Linked DNA regions of Styela clava. The protein of the gene in region 2 purifies or fractionates together with the protein of the main gene of each other region. This does not show direct contact. Links are inferred from orthologs where the notes say so. Each region holds a gene or a part of one and is shown on either strand. Other genes may lie near its edges. The genes, in order: uncharacterized protein LOC120325917 and ubiquitin thioesterase ZRANB1-like.

Region 1 (11,501 bases), on a different chromosome or scaffold from region 2:
TCACACTGACCAAGACCTGAAGTATATTTTATCCAATTTTAGACGCAGTTAAAACCTTAGGGATAAAACGCAGCTCATTGTTTCCAGTAAGTTTATTACACAAAAAACGGTATTGTTAAAGATCAATTTTAAAAATAACGAATTCTATCGAATCACCACAAACTTCAAATCCACAGCCAGTAATTGAATTGTTTAAAGCTGGTCTGGGAGTATATGTATGGTAACTTGTGCACTGTTGCTTCAAGCACAACAGAATTCAATATGACCAAAATAAGGTTAGGGACAACTGGGACACAACATATTAAGTATTCATCAGAATAAGACTTTATTTATCCCTGATTGAAATTGAAAAACTGAAAGTATAGAAAACTATGTGAGCCCGTTTCCTAAAAGATAATAATATTTGAAGATAAAATTTCCATACATGAAATATAATGGACAAAATATAATGCTAGTCAATACTTTGAATCTTTGATAAACCAAATGCTGTAAGTAAAAACTTAAAATGCCCATTGTTAGTTTATAAATCTGAAAAAAAAACGTACCCTGATGTCGTAACCCCCTCCACACCATCTGCCAGTAAAATGGGTGGGTGACTGCTGGTTGGTATGAGAGTTACATCTTGTGTATTTTGTGCCACACTCATTGGATGATGCTTAGCAAAAAAGTGCGCTACTGTATCCATATCTCTCTCAGTGTTAGAATCCAAAGATGATGTAAAAGATTGTGCTTTGCACATTTTTATAGGTAGTTCAGGTGTCATACTCTCCTCTGAATCACCGCAGGAGTATAATTCCGTAGCATGTTCAAGTGCGGTTTTAGCTGAGTTCGTTGTTTGATTTAAGTTTCTCTGAGTTGATTTTTCTTGTAAAATACGCATTTGTAATTTCAAACTGCTACAGCGGTTTTGTTCCTCTTTTAACTTGATTGCCAGGTCTTGTTTCTCTTTCAAAGCCTATTATGAAGTTGGCAATTCAATTTGAATAATAAATTTGACAGATTTGTATAAAACCATGAGTCACATTAAGATTAGAGAGATGTCCAAAACCAATAACTTACGGTACTATTCCAAATAAATTTTGAAATAATAGCTACAACTATGGAATAGCGTATTTTATTTATTCTAAACTGGGTCCCAATCAACACAGAATTATAAAATATTGTGAATTCACTGATATAAAATTTGGCAATGTAGAAAGTTTCAAATAAACATTGTTTTGATTTGTTGTTTTTATAGTGTAGGTTTTACAGTAAAACTAAGTTGTTGTTTTATGTCTGGGCATCAGATGTCAAATGCTTGGGACGATAAATTTTCAAACGAGAACTCGCGACCTACACTAAAGTCAATTCCTCCACAACTAGAAGCAAACATGTTGATAAGTAAATAAGAAGATACAACTAACCAAAAGCTATAATTACACCAGAGCATAAATTGAATGGGATAGAATCAAAAAATGCATCAAGGACTGAGGTCATTGATGGCTTTATCAGATATCATTCTAAATCACAATTTTACCAGACAATGGATAAATAAACAACAATTAAAATTGAATATTGTTACAATCTGATATGAAAGATATTGCAAAATTCTGAGTTTAAATGCCATAGTTCAAGTCATAATATGACAGAATTCCAAATGCTTATCTGAAGGACAGACATAAACATAATTTGGAATTCGCATGTCAATTCTGGTAAATGATGAATAATTCAACTAACCTAGCTCACACCATTAGCCAAATTATAGAATCTTATATCTATATAATAATCTAGAATATACAGAGTGTTCATAAGTCCTGTCACAATTTCAGTTTTGTCCAATGGAGTCAGTTCTCAATATATCTCAACCAGGTTTGTTTTACTTTAGCGAGTGTTTATTTAGGTTTTTTTACATCATTTATTACATCTTTATATACGCCCGCTATGGTATTATTCATTGGAGTCATAAACAAACTTTCTACTGAATAACAAGTACTAATAAATCTAACCAGGGATGGCCAAAACCAAATATATCACTATTTCGACTGTATTCTAGAAAATATTTTCGTATATGAAATATTCAATACATTCTAAATTGGGAGCAAGTTCATGTTGATCACATCTGAAATGACACAGATATAAAAGGTCATTGTTTTCTATGTGTTGTTTCCTACAAGTTGAGATATGGTACATTTTGATAAACTTGTCTGACAGCTCAAAAGCCCTAATGTTAAATAAAAATGTTCTAAATTCCTAAATTCAAAAATTTACTATATCCAATATAATGAATTTTGAATGTATTCAATTTGTTTTGGACATCCCTGAATCAACGATTTCAAAAATCCAAATAAAAAATACTATGTCTTAACGTTTTACCAAAGAACAATTTATCTTTATTTAATTAATTTTAGGTCAGTTACCTGATGTAATCTTGCTTGTAATTCTGTTTCTGTTGAATCTATATCAATTTGTAATTCTTTAGATTCTGTTAATTGTTGTCGCAACCTTTCTTGTTCAGCCAATAACGATACAACAATCTTAACAGTAAAAGATAGCAAACGATCAGTGAACAACATGGATTCAACTATGCAGTACACAATAAAAATTCATTACATAATAATATATGAATTAAAATAAATAAATATATAAAATGAATAAAACATATAAATTTCATTTGACACCAAAATTGAATCTATTCAGGATGTTACCAGCTGTCATTATAGGTCCCAACCCATTTTAGAATTTTGAAAAGGGGCAGTTATTTTATTAAAATTGGGGTTGACTCAACTCAAATTGAACTCGAATCACTATCCAGCAAAGACTCAAAGTGAGTCAAGCCTTCTAAATGGAATTACTCGGACCCACCAACAACTAAACGCCAGTGTGATTAGATTCAGTGGTTGACTTCACTCTGATAGCATATGACTCGACTTCGAGGTTCGAGAACTTAACACTGTTTCATAATAGCATTAAAGTGAAAAGAAGTCAGAACAAATCATCTCAATTATCGCAACAGAGTGATCAATGATAAATTGTATTACAGGCAAATTACTTTAAGAAACTTTTACTGATTGATTAGTCACTCATATTAAAATTTATTCGATTTTTACCATTTTATGTTTTGTGTTCTCTTCTTTGCATAAACCGAGCAGTTTTCTATATTCTCCTTCAATTCGTTTTGTTCTCTCTTTTTCACATAAAACACTGGCATTGAGTCTTTCTCTCTCTTTCTCAAGAGCCATAGTTACGTCATCGCCTGTCTTTGTATCAGCAGCATGTTTACGTTTTTCTTCAGCCAATTCATGAGCCATCTGAAAGTAAAAATTTGCTTGTATAATAGAATTAATGTGGCAAAGTTAAAATAACACACTTGATCCTTGAATATGATTTACGTCAAACAATGAGATAATAAAATAAACAAATTGATCTCAATCATCAGAAGAAATAACAATCATCTTAGATATGAGACATGTAGCGGCAGCATTTTGCCAAAAATTAATTTTAATGACGCTTTGAAAAAAATGTATTTCAAATTTTATTTGTGATATACAATGATTTGATTGCAATTTAGATAACTTAAAAAAATGTGGGTCTTTTGAACATTAAATGGTATTAGTACTCCTGTAACGATACGCCGGTACTTCTCTGAAACAGAATAATGAAAATTATACCATAAATGTATTGTATAAAAAGAATATTATATAAAATGAATAATATCAGCACATGGCATGGTCATCATCAATGTTCCCTCTAATTTTTTGTAGTATGTGTGCGCAGAAATTTTGGTGTGTGCACACTTTTTCGGAAAAGACTAATATTTGTGCAAAAACCAATGAAGAAATTTTGGCGTTCTAACCGGGTAATAAGTGGGCCAACAACAAACTTTCTCAACCTGCCAACCAAGCACATTGTTACATTACATCGAAATACGTCTGTGCGCAGTAAATCTATGCGTGTGCGCGGCCTCTGGAAGCTGTGTGCGCGAGCAGACGCGCACACTTTAGAGGGAACACTGGTCATCATGGATTTCTTACAATCTCAATGTAAACTTCAAATATTAAACAGTCAGTTGCTGAGTAACGTAGATATAGGTTAAACATAGTACATTAGTATGTCCCGTTCATATATGGTTTAAAACAGAAATTTAACTTACTTTTCTATGTATCTTGCTTGCAAGAGACATTTGTTGATGCATTTTCTGTTGCTGAGATTTGAATTGATAGACAACTTTTTCAAGAAGTGGTAATGGCTCGATAAAGGCCTAAAACAACAGAATTAATCCATTTACAAATAGAAATAAAACAGAAAGTAAAATATAGTCTGAAGGAAACAAAACAAAAATGATGACCTGTTCATTATAATACCGATTCTCATCATCATTTGTAGAATTTCCAGCAACATAATCATCTCTGTGTAATGATAGAAATGGATCAGTCAGTCGATGTACAAAATACTGCTGTCTCGCATTACGCTGGTTGGTGAGTTGAGCCTGAATTCAGTGATAAAAATATTGTTATGTACTTCCACTGGTATGTGAACAAAAAACTTGTTAACTTGAATTACATACCTGTAAGGCAGATATAAAGATATCTCTAGCTTCTAATTCTCCTTCTAATATACTGAGTAATCGAAGAAGATCATGCTTGCTCTTTTTCAACAGATTCATCCCTTTCTTTTTTATCTGCAATTAGTCAAGCTCTATGGTTATATGATTATTTATAAAGTAGTTCAACTTATTTCGACATGCTCATAAAAAATTTGATAGATTTTGCTTCTATGTTTGAAAGTTGGCGTCTTATTAGGTCATTTAACATTTTCCACTCAAGCCAAGTCAATTTAAAATTGAGAGGTGGAAAAACAATTCAATAAGTTATTAAACAAAACGATTGAACTAGCAAATATGGACTCACATAAAATTTAGATTACGAAACTATCAACTATTTTACTGTACTATCTTGCCACAATAAAACAAGAAAATAAGAAATAAGCACATGGCAACCAAAATTAGCACGGAAAACTATGCAATAAAAATACAGAAGTAACCAGGTAAATAAGAAAAATTATTAGAAAGTTTAGTTTTCATACCTGCGGATTATTATTCACCAGTCTGGTTTCACTGCTTTCACACTCAGAAATCGCATTGTTCTGGTTTTCATTCATGATTTTCTTATTTTAGGATCATCCACTGAATTCATTCATACATCCTTCATTTTTTATAAGTTCCTCAACATTCGAGGTAAATGTAATCCAACAATGGTTTTTCTCGGCTTACGAGGATATTGTACTCAGCAATGATCGAATTATTAGAGACATACGACAGCATTGATACTCTTCAAGCTTTATATGTGAAATTTGTCACACTCCACCTTACGCTTTTATCACCATTGGCCCACCCTTTTTGAGTCTAGATCAATTTATAACAATTTTGACTCCGCCTAATGCAAGAAACAAAACTGAAATGGAAATAAAAAAGGTTTTCATTCAAATTTGTTTATTCAATGGTGGAGGGGATTCATTTGACTGTGTAAATAATCCTATAACCAGAAAAACATGAGGTTAATAAAAAATTAAAAACACGACTAGGCCATCCTCATTACTTATTTTTCAATATTTAATTTCTAATATTGCAGTATTGATTTGAATGTTGAATTTGTATAATTAAAAGTTAAGACTTTAATTTAAAACTGAAACTCTATATCACAATTTTGAGTCCAACTACATTTTACTGTTTTCAGGTTTTATTGTAGCGGTTATACAAAAACATTAATTTGAGTTGTAAGAAAGATACGTGTCTATTTTTATGCTAAAAAAAGTAAGTTAACATCATAAAATAAATTACATGGTATAAATGAACTGAATATGACGGCAGATTCATATATAGCCTATCTCGACTTACTACAACTATACAATCAGAAAATGGTTATTGACGAAAGCAAAATAGGAAACAATTTATTCAATATACCGGTACGCAATGAAAAATTTCATCGGAATTTACGGTACTGCGGTTCGGGTCTCATGTAGTTTCGTACCTAACGTACTTCTAGTAGGCGTAGCATAACAATTTTTTCACGTGTCAATCCTAACCCCCACCTGACCACACCATCCTAAAATGACGTCACTACGACGGCACAGTGACGTAATAGAGCACTTCAAACTATGCGAACTGTCATCCAAGACGCGCAGACGAGAATCCGAAATCGAACAGTCATTTCTCTCGTTTTTTATAAGTTCCTCAACATTTGAGGTAAATGTAATCCAACAATGGTTTTTCTCGGCTTATGTCACTTCGACGTCACAGTGACGTAATAGAGCACTTCAAACTATGCTTCAAACTGTCATCCAAGACGCGCAGAAAACCCGAAATCGAACAGTCATTTCTCTCGTTTTCTCGTCGCAACGATCCGGACAGGAGAGAGATCGCTGACGTTGGTCAGTTCTTTATCGTCAGCGCCAATGCCATTTCAGGCGATCGTACGAGTATTTAGCAAGCTCTATGACATGATGAAATAAACTTGACTTGTCTCGACTGTCTGTCGGGTCTAGTATAGTTTAGTACCACAAGTACTTCCAGTGGGCGTAGCATAATGAATTTTGCATATGTTATTCCTAACCCCTACCTGACTATGCTACCAAAAAATACGTCACTACGACGTCACCATCGCGTCATAGGGCTTGCCAAAGTATAATTAACATCGCCCGAAATGGCATATGCGCCGCCGGTAACGAACTCGCTAACGCCGGCGATCTCTCTCCTATCGTGATCGTTGTGGCGAGCTATCGAGAGAAATAGCTTGCTCGATTTCGGGTGATCGTCTGCGCGTTTTGGACGACCATCCGCATACTTTGGTGGGCCATAATACAGTAATACGCCACTGTGACGTCGAAATGACGTAATTTTTCAGTGACGTAGTTAGGTGGGGGTTAGGATTGACATATGCAAAAATTGTCGAGCCAGGTCAACTTGAAGTACGTGTGGTACTAAACTATACCAGACCCCTGTCTGTCTTCCATTTACCGTACCGTACCGTAGAACTACTACCGTACTACAAGCAACTAACTGGACTGAAGCTACATAACATATTTTGAACCACACAGCCAAATTTCTTTTTTTTTTCTTTTTTTTTGCCAAATAAATTCCATTGCCAAACGGAATTTTCGTATATTAATTTTATTGTCGAATTAGTATAATTTGCACCCAATTAAACAATTTCATAATTTCAAAACACATTGCCCACAAGTTCAATAATATATGTAACAATTAAAATATAAAACCATACCATTACCGGAGTTTTGTATCATATATAGTCCAATTTATATCCATTGAATACCAAAGTTACCCTAGCAGACATCTCTCTCGTTTTAGGAACGGTAGAATAGGGTTGCCAGAAAACGATTTAACATTGCGTATAAAACAAGCTGCGGAAAATATGAATGCTGGGTGAAATTCAGTTGCCAGATTTATGACCGATTATAATCACTGCTTTCCGTATTCCACGTAAACTTTCGTAATTTTCAATTGCCGGCCACATTTATAAAAGTGATAAAAAGGAAAACACATAATACCATCATCTCGATCAAAGTTTAATAGACTTTGTATGTCGGAAAAATGATATGATTTCTTGTCAAACATGGCCCAAACAAGAATTATACATCAAAATCACTAAATATCGGTAATACACCCAAAAATTCTGCACTTTCCGATGACGGGCCCCACTTTTAGATAAGATATCTCAAAAGAGCATATTGTAAAGTCATCTCGAACTAAGTTTCATAAAATTTGTATGGGGGGAAGATATAATAATATCTTCTCAAACATGGCCCAAACAAGAATTTTACATTGAAATCAATAAATATCGGTATTAAACCCAAAAATTCTGCACTTTTCGATTACGTGCCCCACTTTTAGATAAGATATCTCGAAAGAGAATATTGTAAAGTCATCTCGATCCAAGTTTTATAAAATTTGTATGGGGGAACCTATAATAATATCTTCTCAAACATGGCCCAAACAAGAATTTTACATCAAAATCACTAAATATCGGTATTGCACCCAAAAATACTGCACTTTCCAATGACGTGCCCCACTTTTAGATAAGATATTTATGAAAATATTGTTCGTTTTTTCCAGTTATTGTGGCGTAATGAATCAAAAAATAATTATTAGAAGCCGGTAACAAAATGAGTTTTACACAGTGTAATGTATTGAAATTATAATGATGATTCGTGCAAATGTTAACATATGCTAACAAAAATTATTTTTAGACAAAAATCCCGAATCTACACAAATAACTACTGAAAGCATATGTATGTATGACTTTTCCTTGTTTTTGAAGAATGATTTCCCCGCTGTAGGTTCTTCTGTTGGAACTGGGACAAAATTAATCCCTACTTCTAGTAGATCGATTTCTCGACGAAGGAAAAATATCATCTGGAAGCCCTTCATCTTCGACTCTGTTTCATCCTTCAGCACTCAGTCCCACCCACCCCCCGTATCTTTGGTGTTCTATGCCAGTGTGGTTGCTCGGCCAAAAACTTCAGTTTCTTTGCAACCAGCGCCATGTTTGCGTTCCTCTCATTCCCGACCATCTTACGCAGCTGTACTTTCTCGTGGACTTCGTAAAGCCTGTCCAGACGTGGTTATCGAACCCGTTTCATCATATTTGAAGACCAATTCTTCTGCACCGTGCGGCTCCGAAACCATCATTTCAAGGAGCCCAACTCTGGGAAAGTCGTCGTCTGACGTTTCCGGCGATTTTAAGATTGTGAAGAGTAGACGGGCAACGAAGACGAAAATTGCTCAGAAGATTGTACCAATGAAGAAGACGGCGGGCCAATCTCGTCAAATTGTGGCCCGTACAAATGATGTACGTTCAGACTCTTCATTTTGTCTTCTTCACACTACTTCTTTGTCAAAACAACATCGCCGAAAGGTCTCTACGGCCTCATCTTTCACTACTTCTGTCGTTTCTACTGGGGCTATTTCTGATATTACTATGCGGCCAAAACATACTAGCAGGTCTTTTTTCTCCTCCTCCCTCTTTTAGTAGCTCTGATAAAGTTAAAAGTAATTGTCCCATTCCACGGAAGAAGTTACAGAGATCATCTTCGCCTGATAAAAATTCTTACCCTTCTTTAATTTATAAACAGCCGGGCGGTGTGTTTTCCAAAAACAAATTGTCAACTCAGTCGTTGGTAACTGCAATAAATGATATGGGATCATTTAATCCAAATTCCCGAGCAGACTGGAGCAAATTAGCAAAACTAATTTGGAACAAAAAAATTGCCAAAGGTGAATTGAAAAATTATATTCGAAAATTGCGACATTTTTGGAACAATAACTCAAAAAAACTGAAAATCAATGAAAATTCATTTCCGTACACATCAGGCGATGGAGAATTTAAAAATACCAAAAGGGATGACCATTCTTCTGATTTTCATTCTGAAATTAAAATTAGCAATTAAAAAAGAAAGCACACTGCCTACGTCCCTGGAAGAGAGCTGTGATAACAAATTGAAGCAGGTTAGTAACAATTCATACATATTTTTAGACGCGCATGGAACTGATTTTGATGTAGGTGCGCAAAGCTCAGTGCAAGCCCATGGTATTTGGAAACGTGAAAATCCAATAAAAAATGCAAAATTTAAAATGAACACCAAAAATTGGAACAGTCTTTTCAACTCCGTTGCTGGGCGAAAAATAAAAAATTCTAATTGGGCTGATGTTTTTAGAAAAGCTATCAAAGAGAGTGACCCTTACTGTTCATATGCATTTCGATGGCACACAGTAAATTCTGGAATATTGGCAAATCGTATTTTTGCTTGCAGTGGGCATTGTTGCTTCACAGGTTGCTGTCGCAAAATTTCTGTAGTATCCTATCGCAGAGACCTCCGCATGTTCCATGTTAGGTATTCGGGAAATAGGTATCACGTTGGTATTAAATCAATCCGACTTAAGGGAAAACGGCGGAAGGAATTGAAAGAAAAATTGGTTCATTCTCTTCCTCGTAATATGTATTTGTAAAAAATTGGTAATAGGGACGATGCTCCGTCACAGGCTGTATTAAAAAAGGCGCGATATGAGGCTAGAATGGTAAATGTCCCAGATTTCAATAATCAATGGAATTCGCTTGACTGTTTAAGAAAATTTCAGGCCGAAAAATGCAATAATAAGTTAATTCGTGGAACCTTGCAGCAAATTTCACGAGTTCCACCAGGTATTATGTTGTGGTCGGAACAGTCTGTAAGAATATTTAACCATAATGCTCAAAATGACATAATTTATATTGACGCTACTGGTGGGATACTTCCTTTCGGTGCCCAAAGTCCATATTACATTTACGGAATAGTAACTCGCCATCCCCAAAAAGGCAAGTCCCCATTTGCTGTTGCAACGTTTGTTACGAATCGGCACAACATTGCAAATATTTCGAACTTTTTGTCACAATTTCGTTCTGATGTTTCGAAATTGACCAAACGATTTCCCGTAAGGGCTTTTATATGTGATGGTAGTATGGCCCTCATCAAATCAATAATTCAAGTAATAATGCGCCAAAGTCTAGAGGCCTACATATCGCGCTGTTATTCGGTCATTCAAGGCAGTGCGAATTTGGCTATGCTTTCCCGACCCTTTCTTCACCTATGCACCAGCCATACCATGAAAAATTTTAAGCAATTAGCTTGTAGGGCTCCAAAAGTCAAACGGGAACTCGTGTATATATTTGGGTTGCTTGTTTGCTGCAGGGAAATGAAAAAACTTCGTAAAATCGTTTACCATTTGACAATAATATTAATAGCCCTGAATTCAAATCTTGTTGCTAATAGCTGGTCTTACTTGAAAAAGCGTATCGAAAAACAAAATATTCCATCCCCACCCGAATGTGTTTTCAATCAGGATGCATCGGATGAACTTTTACCAGATGCAGACTGGAGTGAGAGAAATCCTTTTACCGAATTACTACTATATCTGGATATTGCTAGAGCTACAAAAATTGCTACTGACGCTGGTTTATGTGGTTCAAACTGTTTTTATTGCCCGGAAGTAATGACTGAATTTAAAACCTTTTATGTGCCCAAAATTTGTCTGTGGGGAGCTTTGCTAGTAGGTGATTTGGGCAGGTATGGTAAAACAATAGGCTATGAAAAGTATAGACAATTTTACGCTAAATCCTCGGTCTCTAACAAACAGAACTTAGCAAAAGATAATCGAACGCGGGGAATCATGGAGATGACTTACACAATATGGTCTTTTGAAATATCTTATTTAAAAGTGGGGCACGTAATCGAAAAGTGCAGAATATTTGGGTTTAATACCGATATTTAGAGATTTCGATGTAAAATTCTTGTTTGGGCCATGTTTGAGAAGATATTATTATATGTTCCCCCCATACAAATTTTATAAAACTTGGATCGAGATGACTTTACAATATGCTCTTTTGAGATATCTTATCTAAAAATGGGTCAATAATCGAAAAGTGCAGAATTTTTGGGTTTAATACCGATATTTAGTGATTTCGATGTAAAATTCT
Region 2 (11,501 bases):
AATCACAAAAATATTGACAGTGAAAATCGCCTTTCATCATTCGGATACTTTGTAAAATTTCATGGCGAATATGATCTGCAATTTCTGGACATAATATGGCTGGACTTCGTTTCAAATTTCTCTTGGTGACCTGGAAACAAAAAGAATAATATTGTGATTTCAATGAAAACTACATTAGAGACATTGTGAAAAGTAAATTTACGTTTACAGGATGATCAAACTAATTTTGCAGCAGTAAAACCAAATTAGCTAATCTCCCAATTTTCGACACTCCAGGAGTGTGTGTACCAATATGGAAGTAAATAATTCTGTTCGCCTATTTTACATCAAGTTGTGTAAAGAGAATGAAACGTATGGGCAGGGGGTATTTTTCACTTGGCTAACACAGACAGTCCCCCAACTCGCAATAAAAAAGACTAAAATAAAGAAAATCTAAATAAAATTATTGCCTAACACTAACCTGGTACACACACTACAGGAGTACCCAATTTTCTGCGGTTATGGACCACGGGTCATAATTTGGTCTGGGTTTCAAAGCCAGTTTTGATTTTAGGAAGACGCTTATGTTCATTTTTACTACTACAAAATAGGAATTTCTCAAAAATGTGACACAAGCATATTTAGTTCTACTGCAGATTTGATATCAATATATAGTTTGAATACTTTTTTAGCTTAAACTGGATAACTTACATTTACTTACACAACACACTAGTAACTATTCAATATAATTTATTGTTATTACACCATCACTTCCATAAAAGAAGCAAGATGTAAACCTCAAACAATACGGTATTAAAGAATTCTACGAGCATGTGCGTACTATGACCGACATTATTACATGGTTTATTAACAAATCCAGCATATTCCCATCCTTTTGCAAATTATTTACATCAGTTCTATTTGTTTGTTCTTTGTTCTATTTCCCAGGGGAAGTTACCTATACAAGCAGCTATACATCAAGATTATTTTTGGAATGTTAATTTTCACCATTGATATGATATGATTATATTCAGTAACCTGGTCATTTGTTCAATATTCATTATAAGATAGTATGGACATTGACGTACTGCCTCTATCAATTAATAAATATTTTAAATGTTTTTAAAAACACAATCTAATGAACACCTCTTAATCACAGAGTCAAAATGAAATTATTAAAATAGTATATTTTAAAAAATACTGAAATACAATCTGTGAATCTGTACTATATACAATCTGTTTATATAATAACAGTGTGGTGAAGTCATGACTTTGTTTATCACAATCACACAATGCATGATGTACCAGTTCACAGGTATGTGTCAGTACACCAAAAATACCTTTTTATAGCACACAATTAGCCATTAAATTAATGAAATAGATGGAGCAGTACCTTGCTTCACTGACTTTACAATCAATAAAATGCTTTCATAATAAAGAGAGAGAAAGATAGAATGAGAAATGAGTTTCTAAAAAGCAGAGACACTTGACACCTCATTAATTATTCGATGACATATTGGCAAGGTTAAAAGAGCATTAAAAAGAGAGGATAAAGTTTTCAAACAAAATTGTAACCTTCGCTAAGCGGTGATTATATTATTATAAAACATTCATACACGGTCCAGAAATAAAATTTACAAAGCAACAGCTGTTCATAAGGCCACACTCGATCCAGTGTTATAAGATCAAGAATAATAAGTTTTCACATAAACAAAACGAACAAAGAACCACAATTATGTTTAGCATAAGGTAATCACTCTCCACTGAACACTGTGCCATCAATGTCTTTTCAATTCACAGAATCAATAAATAGAAATATCATTCATACAAAAATTTTGATCAATTTCCATTCTCATTTCACACATAATATACGGTAAGCTAATTATCTCAAATGAACGAAATGTGAACCATAGCAATTCGAAAATTAACTAGATTCAAATCATGTACAGAAGTGAAACTCAATTTTAAAGAGATTGCTTTTTTATTTATCTTACTATTCACACATAAAAAAGTAAAATAAAATTGCATCGCAAAACACTACTGCGAACATTTATGTAAACCAATCCCACAACACAACCACAAGTAACATAGATGTTTGAATTATTTAATATTACACCCAAAGTAATATTATAAGGTGTGCAGTAGCATCAAGTAACTGAACGAGTTGAAGTTACCTTTTAGTCAATGAAAGCAATATACCAAATATGAACAATTTTTTTTGTCCTGCGTTAAATTAGTGCTGCAATTAAGTATACCCAAGGAAAGAAACAGACAGACAGCTGGAACACAACGTAAGTGATCACTATACTATTTCTAATAAAAATTATGACATATAAATTATCCAGATTATAACATTATAAACTATTTTGGTTCTTTTTGTTAGTATTTAGTAAGGACCATTTGGCTTATAAAATTTTCAAGTTTATAATTTTAGAAATACATTGGACCATAAGAAACATGTTGTCATTAAAATACTGACAACTGGTCATTATAGGCAAATCAATTCCAGCACCAAACCTGATTTTAGGCACAGAGAAAAATTATCGGACAATGATGAATTGAGATGTCATAACCTAAATGAGTGTACGTGTCGAATGAGCTGATACAAGTTATCAAGAACACTAGATTTCCAAAAAGTAGGACTGCATACATCACATGTAGGGAGTTTAGTTCACGATTTCTAATTTTATATCTAAATATTAAACTTTTAATAACAAGAGGAACAAATAAGGAAAAATTTGTTCCAATATTCATTCATGTACCACAAACATAATATTGAGTCACATTCAGAATCAACCCTGTAATTACTTGAATCGATAAAAGGAACTGAAATTCGATAAGTAGTATGATGTGACCATGGGAACATAAGTTAAGTAGCATACATCTTACATAACAAGAAATATTTTTTCAGTTTTATTTAATTTGATATATTTATTTAATACTTGATAATGAGAACAGGCTGATAAACTTTTCGATTAGAAAAACCACATTTTTTAATCAAGTTCGTTAATAAATTTAAACTATTCAATAATGAATTTGTATCTACATATACACAATGTCCATGTTTTAATGTAATCTAATGCAGTAGAAAATTCAAGTTTTGAAAATGTTCAACATTTTTCTACTCGCAAACAGGACAGAACCACAGTAATAAAGTTTATCTGGAAACTCAGTAACGTTAATAAACAGAAAATTCACACAAAATATAGTGATGCTCATATTTAGATAATTTGAAATGCTAGAATTATTTTTGGCAAATAAATTCGAAATACTTTAAACTATAAACCCGTTTTGATAGTCTGTATTATAAAACTGTGCAGCTTTTTCGATGTAATTTTTAATCTTCTTTTAATAAGTAGCCATTTCGAAATCTTTATAGATAGACGATCTAATATAGAAGCTGATGTAATCTTATTTAATAGCCCTGCAACGACTGTAAATATAGTTAACTACTTCCAATGACACACACACACACACTCCAATATTTTTAAACAAATATTTGCTTTGAATTATAACTCCTGGAAACATCACAAGATTTGTCATCATGATGGGAAGGAATATCATTTAGGATGCGTTTTATCAACGAATAGAGAGATGATAGGCTGATAGCATAGCATTTAGCCTTGCTCTGTTATTTGTACAGAAACTGTAGTCATAGTATTGTTTTATAAATATTACAGATTCTCTCATCTGCTTACTTTCCATACTAAAAAAGAAAGTTTAAAATAAGAAAATAGAAATATCTTACCTCTGGGGTTAAAATAAGTGCAAGGATATTGCGGCGTTGAAATCTGACGGCAAGATGTACAATAGTATGTCCAACATCAAATGCAGAAGGTCTGTTCAAAATTCTCACTTCATCAGCTGTTAAAGGTCTCGCAATATTTCCACCATATGCTAGATACCTATCAACTGCTTCAATATTGTCTTCAAGAATACCTAAGCACAAAAAAAATGATGAAATGAGGATTCATACAAATAGATAATTTAATGATAATGATTCTCTAATCCACTTTATATAATTCTAATAATTCGTACAATTGTTCAAAGAGACCTTCATTCCCAAATTCACAGTTTAACGTAGTTTTCAAAATCTTGTAGAACACAACCCTCTCAATATGAGACTACCATTTTTCGTGAAATAATTATACAATATATTCAGAAAATAGGAATATAGCAGATGGCTATAAAACATGTTGTTAGTGTTAAAATTCAACAACCAAGTCAATAAACTATATATCTTCAAACGTATATGATAACCCCAAGAATCGTTGACAGAATCCATAAATGAGATTTCATCTGATTAGTAAATTATGAATGAAAATAAGGTGCGAAATAAAAGTGACTGAAGAATTAACTATTATGTTCATCCCACAATTGTAGTTGAAATAATGTAATTAGTTAATCTAAACTAATCAATGATTGTAAATTTCCATATGCTAATAAATATATATCAGTTCATTACCCACCTATGCAGGCTTTGAGAAAAAGCAAGTTTAATCTTTTGTTCGATTTTTTCCAAGATCTATGTTCATGTTCACGAGTTTTTGTAAATTTTTCCAAATGACCTATTGCTTCTTCATGTTTCCAAGTATTACTTACTCCTTCGTTAGAAAAATGCCTCCCTTTCTTTTCTGCCCTTTGACAAGAAGCAGAATCCTGAGCATTCATTATATTATTTAAATTTTCCTCACTGAAAGATTTTTTATGTCTATGCAATGCCCTTGTATTTGTTAAAGTGGGGCTCATTGAGTCCTGGCAACGAAAAGCATGGTTTGAAGAATAGCTTCGACAAAGTCGTCCACAAGCTCCTGGCTGTGAGCTACAGGTTTTGGAGTTTACAGATCGAGGTTTGTCTTGTGTGATTTCATCTCTGACAATTTGTTTCGGGCGATTTAAAATCAATGATTTATGTTCATCTTCGTGAATTGGTTGAATTGGATTTTCAATAATCCGATCACTTGCAGCCAATTTGGGATAATGGCACATGACACACTTAGCTGATCTATCCCAATTGTTATAAGTGCATGAAGTACAAATCCATTTTTTGTTAATTTCATTATTTTTATCCGCAATATTTGCTGCCTGATTGTCACTAAGAGAAGCAGAAGCTGCACCAGCACCATCTACAGGCACGTTATAGTTTGAGGAGAAAGATGGCATTTCATCTGCGTTAGTAATACGAGCTTTGGATTCAAATTCCCTAGTAAATGTATCATAATAATTATCTGCGTTAACAGAGCATCCATGGCTTATTACTGCAGGGTCTAGTCCTTGAAGACTTGTCCTTTGAATAACGGAGTTTTGTTCTGTGGGATAGTTTGTGATGACGTCTGTAGATGACCGAGGTTCGTCGATTAAAGGTGTGGGACATTGTTGACAACACATAACACAATTCAGGGACGCAGGATAATTTTCATACGTGCACAAACCACAAGTCCATTTTATTGACTTGCTCATCTCCACCTAATTAAATCCAGATATAGTCAAGCTTATTAACTGGATATATCTGAAAAATTTGCATTGAAATTACTGAATTATAATGAATTCTTACGCCAGGAATAGAGCTAAGATCTGAAGCCCGAGTTCAGGTCGGGCCTGAAATGACAATTATTACGTTCGGGTTGGGCTTCTCTATCGCTGACTTTTTTAAATAAATATATATTTATAAAAAATAAATACTAAAACTATTTGTGGATACTAAAATAAGGAATACTTGTTATGAAAGAAATAATTTGAATAAAACAGAGAAGAAGCTTTAATGGACCTTTCCCCGGTCAGGTTTAATACCCACGGGCCCGTTTCGGGTGGGGCTGGATTTTTCGTGCCCAATCTTACCTCTAGCCAGGGTTTCTCACTAACTGACAAGGAAATGGACCAGATTTGGTCGCTGTTAAAAATAAGATATCCATGATATGTTGAATCTGTTCGTGAAATGTAACATTTGATAGCAGAACTGCTAAGTCCATTTTATCCTACAGTCCTAAGCTTGTGAAGGGAGCTTACTAAAAATACAGGTATATTGTGACTTTCTATGCTGCTATAGAAGTGATCATTTAAAAAAGTAAGGCATTTGTTGTAATTTGTTGAATTCAGGAAGTAGCAAAGACGCCGATTTATGTAGTTGTTAATCTTATGTCCAATGAGTTTCATTTTGAATAATGGGTAAACCAGGGGTAAAAAACTTTATTTAATAACACCCTAAATTTTTTTGATTCTTGTACAGTTGTAAGTCCCAAAATGAATAATTTTACAAAAAGAAAAGATAACGAAGTAAAAGAAAAAAAAGAAAAGCTCGAAAAGTTGTAGTGAGTGAATATGACTCTGATTACATTAAATGTGGATTCATTGAGGCAGGAAATGACTTTGAGCCAAAAGCACAATGTGTTGAGTGTCAGTGATATGTCGCCTGTGAGGTTGTCTCCTATCAAGCCTTGTCTTGATCTGATAATATCCGATATGCAAGCTCAAGTTTTGTTTTAATAAGTCTGAAAGTGGGTTGCAAACTGAAAAAGGTGAATGAACAACATGCTAAGATCAGACTGAACTAGTACACTAATAATCAGCAATGAAAAAAAAAACAGAACAGTTTAATTAATAATGTTACACGGCTATCTGCATATATCAGTATGCTGGTGAGCAATATTTCTGTAATATTATTTGACTGTTGCATCATCATTTTTAATTTTGCCGATTTCTGGTTTTTGTTGCACTGTTTGAAAAAACTGGAAAGAGGGGAATCTATCATATTTGACTCAATTATCCTTGGAGACTGAGAGGAGTCAGGAAGTTGCATGTGAAATATTAACCACTGAACAAAAATAGAAATGCTGAATTGAATGATTATATTACAATATTACATAAAATTATAACTAAACAGGTTTTAGCTTTTTTGTTGCTTTTTTTGCTATTTTGCTGCCGTAACCACGAAAGGTCGGCCCTAAAGACAGGGGTGGCCCTGATGGTGACAAACCGTATTTCTCCGTGTATAATACGCAGGGCTTTTTTAGGATGTGGATTGTATGAAAATACCAAGTTCCATGCATAATACGCATGGTCGAATTCAGTCACTTGCGTCGACCGCATTTGGTATTTTCGAGAAGCCAGCCTAGCAAGTTTCACTGTGATTTAATAATATGTTTCAAGTGTTTATGACGTCAACTCGTTAGTGTCTGTCAATCTCGGAGTTCTGTTACCCGGCTTTGAATTATCGTGCTGTTATCTATCTTAGAGCATTTTGAAAATGGTTGAGAAAAGAGATTTGTGAGCGTTAGGTTTGCCGATTGGTCAAATTGAGAGAAATGAAACAAGCCGCAAATCCGAGTGAGAAAAAATGATTTAGGAACATTCAGTTTTGCCGATACGGCAAAACAGAAATGAGGGACGCCAGACTGAACAACAACAATTAAATTATCGATTTAAAGTGACGTTCCTATCACTTATATACACTGGTTATTGAAATAGATGTGTTGTCCTTTGTTAGACAAGATAGTCCAGTAGTCCATTCCGTGGGTGTGATTCTACTGCAACAAGCATGATCTGGTTATAACGGACTTTGTCACATAAAATAAATAGAAGACGGAAAGGAAACATGTGTATTTGGCAATTGCGAGTAAAATATCAATCAGGATTTTTTGAAAGACTTCTATACCAATGTATAATGCGCCCCCCTAATTTGGGAGATAAAATATGGAACCGGAAGTGTGTATTATACACGAAGAAATACGGTACCGGTAAGTTGGAACATTTTTTTAAAGATAGTTTTGATGGATTTGGGGTTAGATTTAAGTTTTAAGTCAGTAAGTAGATATAATTCCGCATGATAAACTAAAATCTGATACCGGTACATAACTTTGTGAATATACCAGTAATAGAGTAGCGCCATGAACCAGTAAACCATGGCAAGAGACAGACAGACGCATAACTTTGTGAATATACCAGAAATAGCAAGTGCAGTTTCAAGTATTTTGTGGCGTCTACAGCTGCCGCAAAACCATGGCGGGATTTCCAAACCACGGCCACTAAGACCAAACCCACGGGGACTGACTTTTTAGCTGCCACAAACCAATAGCGAGCTGCCGTGGTTACGGCAGCAAATCGAATACCACCAATTTTACTGCCGTAACCACGGCAGGTCGGCTGTAATAGCAGGGCTGCCCCCAATCTGCTGATTGTGATAAATATTTGGTGAGTTGGAATGTTTTTCTTATGGATACAGTTTGGATGGATTTGGGGTTAGGGTTAGAGTTTAAGTAGATATAATTTCGCATGATAAACTAAAATATGGTACATAAATTTGCAAATATACCGGTAATAGCGCCATAAAACCATGGCAGGAGACGGCGTGGTACGTTCGTGGCAGGAGCTGCCATGAAGTGGTAAGAACTGCGTCTCAGAAATAGACTAGCGCCATGAACCAGTAAACCATGGCAAGAGACAGACAGACGCCGCGGTTCGTTCGTGCAGGAGCTGCCATGAATTCAGGAATTGGTAAGAACTGCGACTCTACAGTCCTAGATCCTGTAGCTCTGCGGGTGACAGTGTACCGTATGTACTGGTATAGACAGTACCTACCGTACTGGTACCGGTATAGAGTGAGCAGATGCCACAAGTCAAAATAATCACTACCGGTAAACAGTAAAGGTAACTGACTAACGCTCAAAGTCTGCTGAAAATTGGCTACCGCGGCGTCTGTCTGTCTCTTGCCATGGTTTACTGGTTCATGGCGCTAGTCTATTTCTGGTATATTCACAAAGTTATGCGTCAGTACTGTAACAGCTGAACAGTGTACGGTAACTAACTAACTACTGCAGTCAGGCTGTACCGGGCTATACCGGTACAGCTACAGGTACCGGTATCTTATTAAACTACAGAACTAGTACCGGTACTGTAGTACGAAAGTCTGAAAGTTGATAAGATGGGTCTCCCAAAGTACCGGTACCGGTACCGGTACGCGCCCACAAGTACGGTACCGGTACCTCCAGTTAGCCTGGCTCAACAAATTTTGCATATGTCATTCCCAAACCCCCACCTGACGTCATCCAAAAAAGTCATAGTGACGTACGGTATACAGTAATAAGGCCCTCCAAAGTATAGGTACAGATGGTCGTCAGTCTAAGTTGCTCTATTAAACTAAAACGCGCAGGCCGCAGACGATAATCCGGAATCTAGCAAGCTATTTCTCTCGTTTTCTAGTCATAGCGATAACAAGACAAGAGAGAGATCGCTGCCATTAGTGAACGCTGGAGGGGGGGGGGATATTATATGCAAAAATCATTATGCTACGCCCACTAGGAGTACTTGCCATTTTTTCTATGCTGGAATGAAATACCGACACATGGATGTGGACCGTGGATTAATCAATAAGTCTTTATTCTTTCCAACGTCGTTTTGCCCGATAGTTATAGTACTATTTGATATTGTTCCGTTTTTAAAAAATCGCCTCCGTTTATGTATTTGCAAGCTTTTGATTATTGGACACGTAGTGGACATAACGATCGTTTCAATATTATGTTGGTTTTGTTGTTGTTTTTTGACACTTTTTGGACATCTAGTGGAAAATCTAAAAAAACGCTTTTCTCTTTCATTACTGGACGGATTGCTTCGATTTTTACTGGTTAAAGATGAAATTTTGGGGCTCCCGAAGTATGCGAACCAAGATGGCGGACATCAGAATGTAATATGTGTACTAGGTTAGGGTTAGGCCTTAATTTTAGATATAAATACTACGGGAGGCTCTTGGCTAGTCTTCGAACTGATAATAGGACTAGAATAAGGAAAATTGGAAAAAAATTATCGCCTAACCCTAACCTGTTACCCATGTTACGTTCCGATGTCCGCCATCTTGGTTCGCATACTTCGGGAGCACCGTTTTATATTGCTCCTTCCTGCAAGTTACAAAATAAATGATGACGGTAATCTATGTTTTTTATTGAAATTTTTCTTAGTTGGCAACCCTAGTATGAATAAACGGTGCTCCTGAAGTATGCGCACCAAGATGTCTTTTTTTTTATTTTATTTTATTTTTTTAATTTATAAATGAAACAATATTGTATAACTGATATCATTATATGCAAAAAAATAATTTATCACAATGTACAATATTGCAAAGAATACCATTAATCGATACAAATACCGGAACAAAAAGTAATTTCTCAAAATCAGGAGCACCGTTTATTCATACTAGGGTTGCCAACTAAGAAAAATTTCAATAAAAAACATAGATTACCGTCATCATTTATTTTGTAACTTGCAGGAAGGAGCAATATAAAACGGTGCTCCCGAAGTATGCGAACCAAGATGGTGGACATCGGAACGTAACATGGGTAACAGACTAACAGGTTAGGGTTAGGCGATAATTTTTTTCCAATTTTAGTCCTATTATCAGTTCGAAGACTAGCCAAGAGCCTCCCATAGTATTTATATCTAAAATTAAGGCCTAACCCTAACCTAGTACACATATTACATTCCGATGTCCGCCATCTTGGTTCGCATACTTCGGGTACTAAGCGACAAAAGTTATACCGGTACATTACCATCAGAGTTGTTTAATAATAACCCATGTTTCTGTGTTTTGTTGCTATACGAAAAGACAATCAAATTTTTTATTTCACCATAGGAAGGAGCAATATAAAACGGTGCTCCCGAAGTATGCGAACCAAGATGGCGGACATCGGAACGTAACATGGGTAACAGGTTAGGGTTAGGCGATAATTTTTTTCCAATTTTCCTTATTCTAGTCCTATTATCAGTTCGAAGACAGGGGCTCCCGAAGTATGCGAACCAAGATGGCGGACATCAGAATGTAATATGTGTACTAGGTTAGGGTTAGGCCTTAATTTTAGATATAAATACTACGGGAGGCTCTTGGCTAGTCTTCGAACTGATAATAGGACTAGAATAAGGAAAATTGGAAAAAAATTATCGCTTAACCCTAACCTGTTACCCATGTTACGTTCCGATGTCCGCCATCTTGGTTCGCATACTTCGGGAGCACCGTTTTATATTGCTCCTTCCTGCAAGTTACAAAATAAATGATGACGGTAATCTATGTTTTTTATTGAAATTTTTCTTAGTTGGCAACCCTAGTATGAATAAACGGTGCTCCTGAAGTATGCGCACCAAGATGTCTTTTTTTTTATTTTATTTTTTTTTAAATTTATAAATGAAACAATATTGTGTAACTGATATCATTATATGCAAAAAAATAATTTATCACAATGTACAATATTGCAAAGAATACCATTAATCGATACAAATACCGGAACAAAAAGTAATTTCTCAAAATCAGGAGCACCGTTTATTCATACTAGGGTTGCCAACTAAGAAAAATTTCAATAAAAAACATAGATTACCGTCATCATTTATTTTGTAACTTGCAGGAAGGAGCAATATAAAACGGTGCTCCCGAAGTATGCGAACCAAGATGGCGGACATCGGAACGTAACATGGGTAACAGGTTAGGGTTAGGCGATAATTTTTTTCCAATTTTCCTTATTCTAGTCCTATTATCAGTTCGAAGA

The links.
Region 1: the proteins of ubiquitin thioesterase ZRANB1-like (region 2) and uncharacterized protein LOC120325917 purify together in Homo sapiens (affinity purification with mass spectrometry; 4 studies listed by BioGRID and IntAct, with this or other methods). This does not show direct contact. The link is inferred for Styela clava from reciprocal best matches to the Homo sapiens genes ZRANB1 and CTTNBP2NL.

What each region holds. Positions count from the first base shown.
Region 1 is NC_135253.1:15,994,771-16,006,271, reverse strand, and holds the start of uncharacterized protein LOC120325917, read right to left. Parts: upstream 5,455-11,501; 5' UTR 5,137-5,454; coding exon 5,062-5,136; intron 4,658-5,061; coding exon 4,544-4,657; intron 4,466-4,543; coding exon 4,325-4,465; intron 4,238-4,324; coding exon 4,130-4,237; intron 3,288-4,129; coding exon 3,087-3,287; intron 2,514-3,086; coding exon 2,397-2,513; intron 956-2,396; coding exon 546-955; intron 1-545. UniProt on the Homo sapiens protein: Regulates lamellipodial actin dynamics in a CTTN-dependent manner. Associates with core striatin-interacting phosphatase and kinase (STRIPAK) complex to form CTTNBP2NL-STRIPAK complexes.
Region 2 is NC_135258.1:20,295,522-20,307,022, reverse strand, and holds the start of ubiquitin thioesterase ZRANB1-like, read right to left. Parts: upstream 5,518-11,501; 5' UTR 5,440-5,517; coding exon 4,449-5,439; intron 3,919-4,448; coding exon 3,728-3,918; intron 131-3,727; coding exon 1-130. UniProt on the Homo sapiens protein: Ubiquitin thioesterase, which specifically hydrolyzes 'Lys-29'-linked and 'Lys-33'-linked diubiquitin. Also cleaves 'Lys-63'-linked chains, but with 40-fold less efficiency compared to 'Lys-29'-linked ones.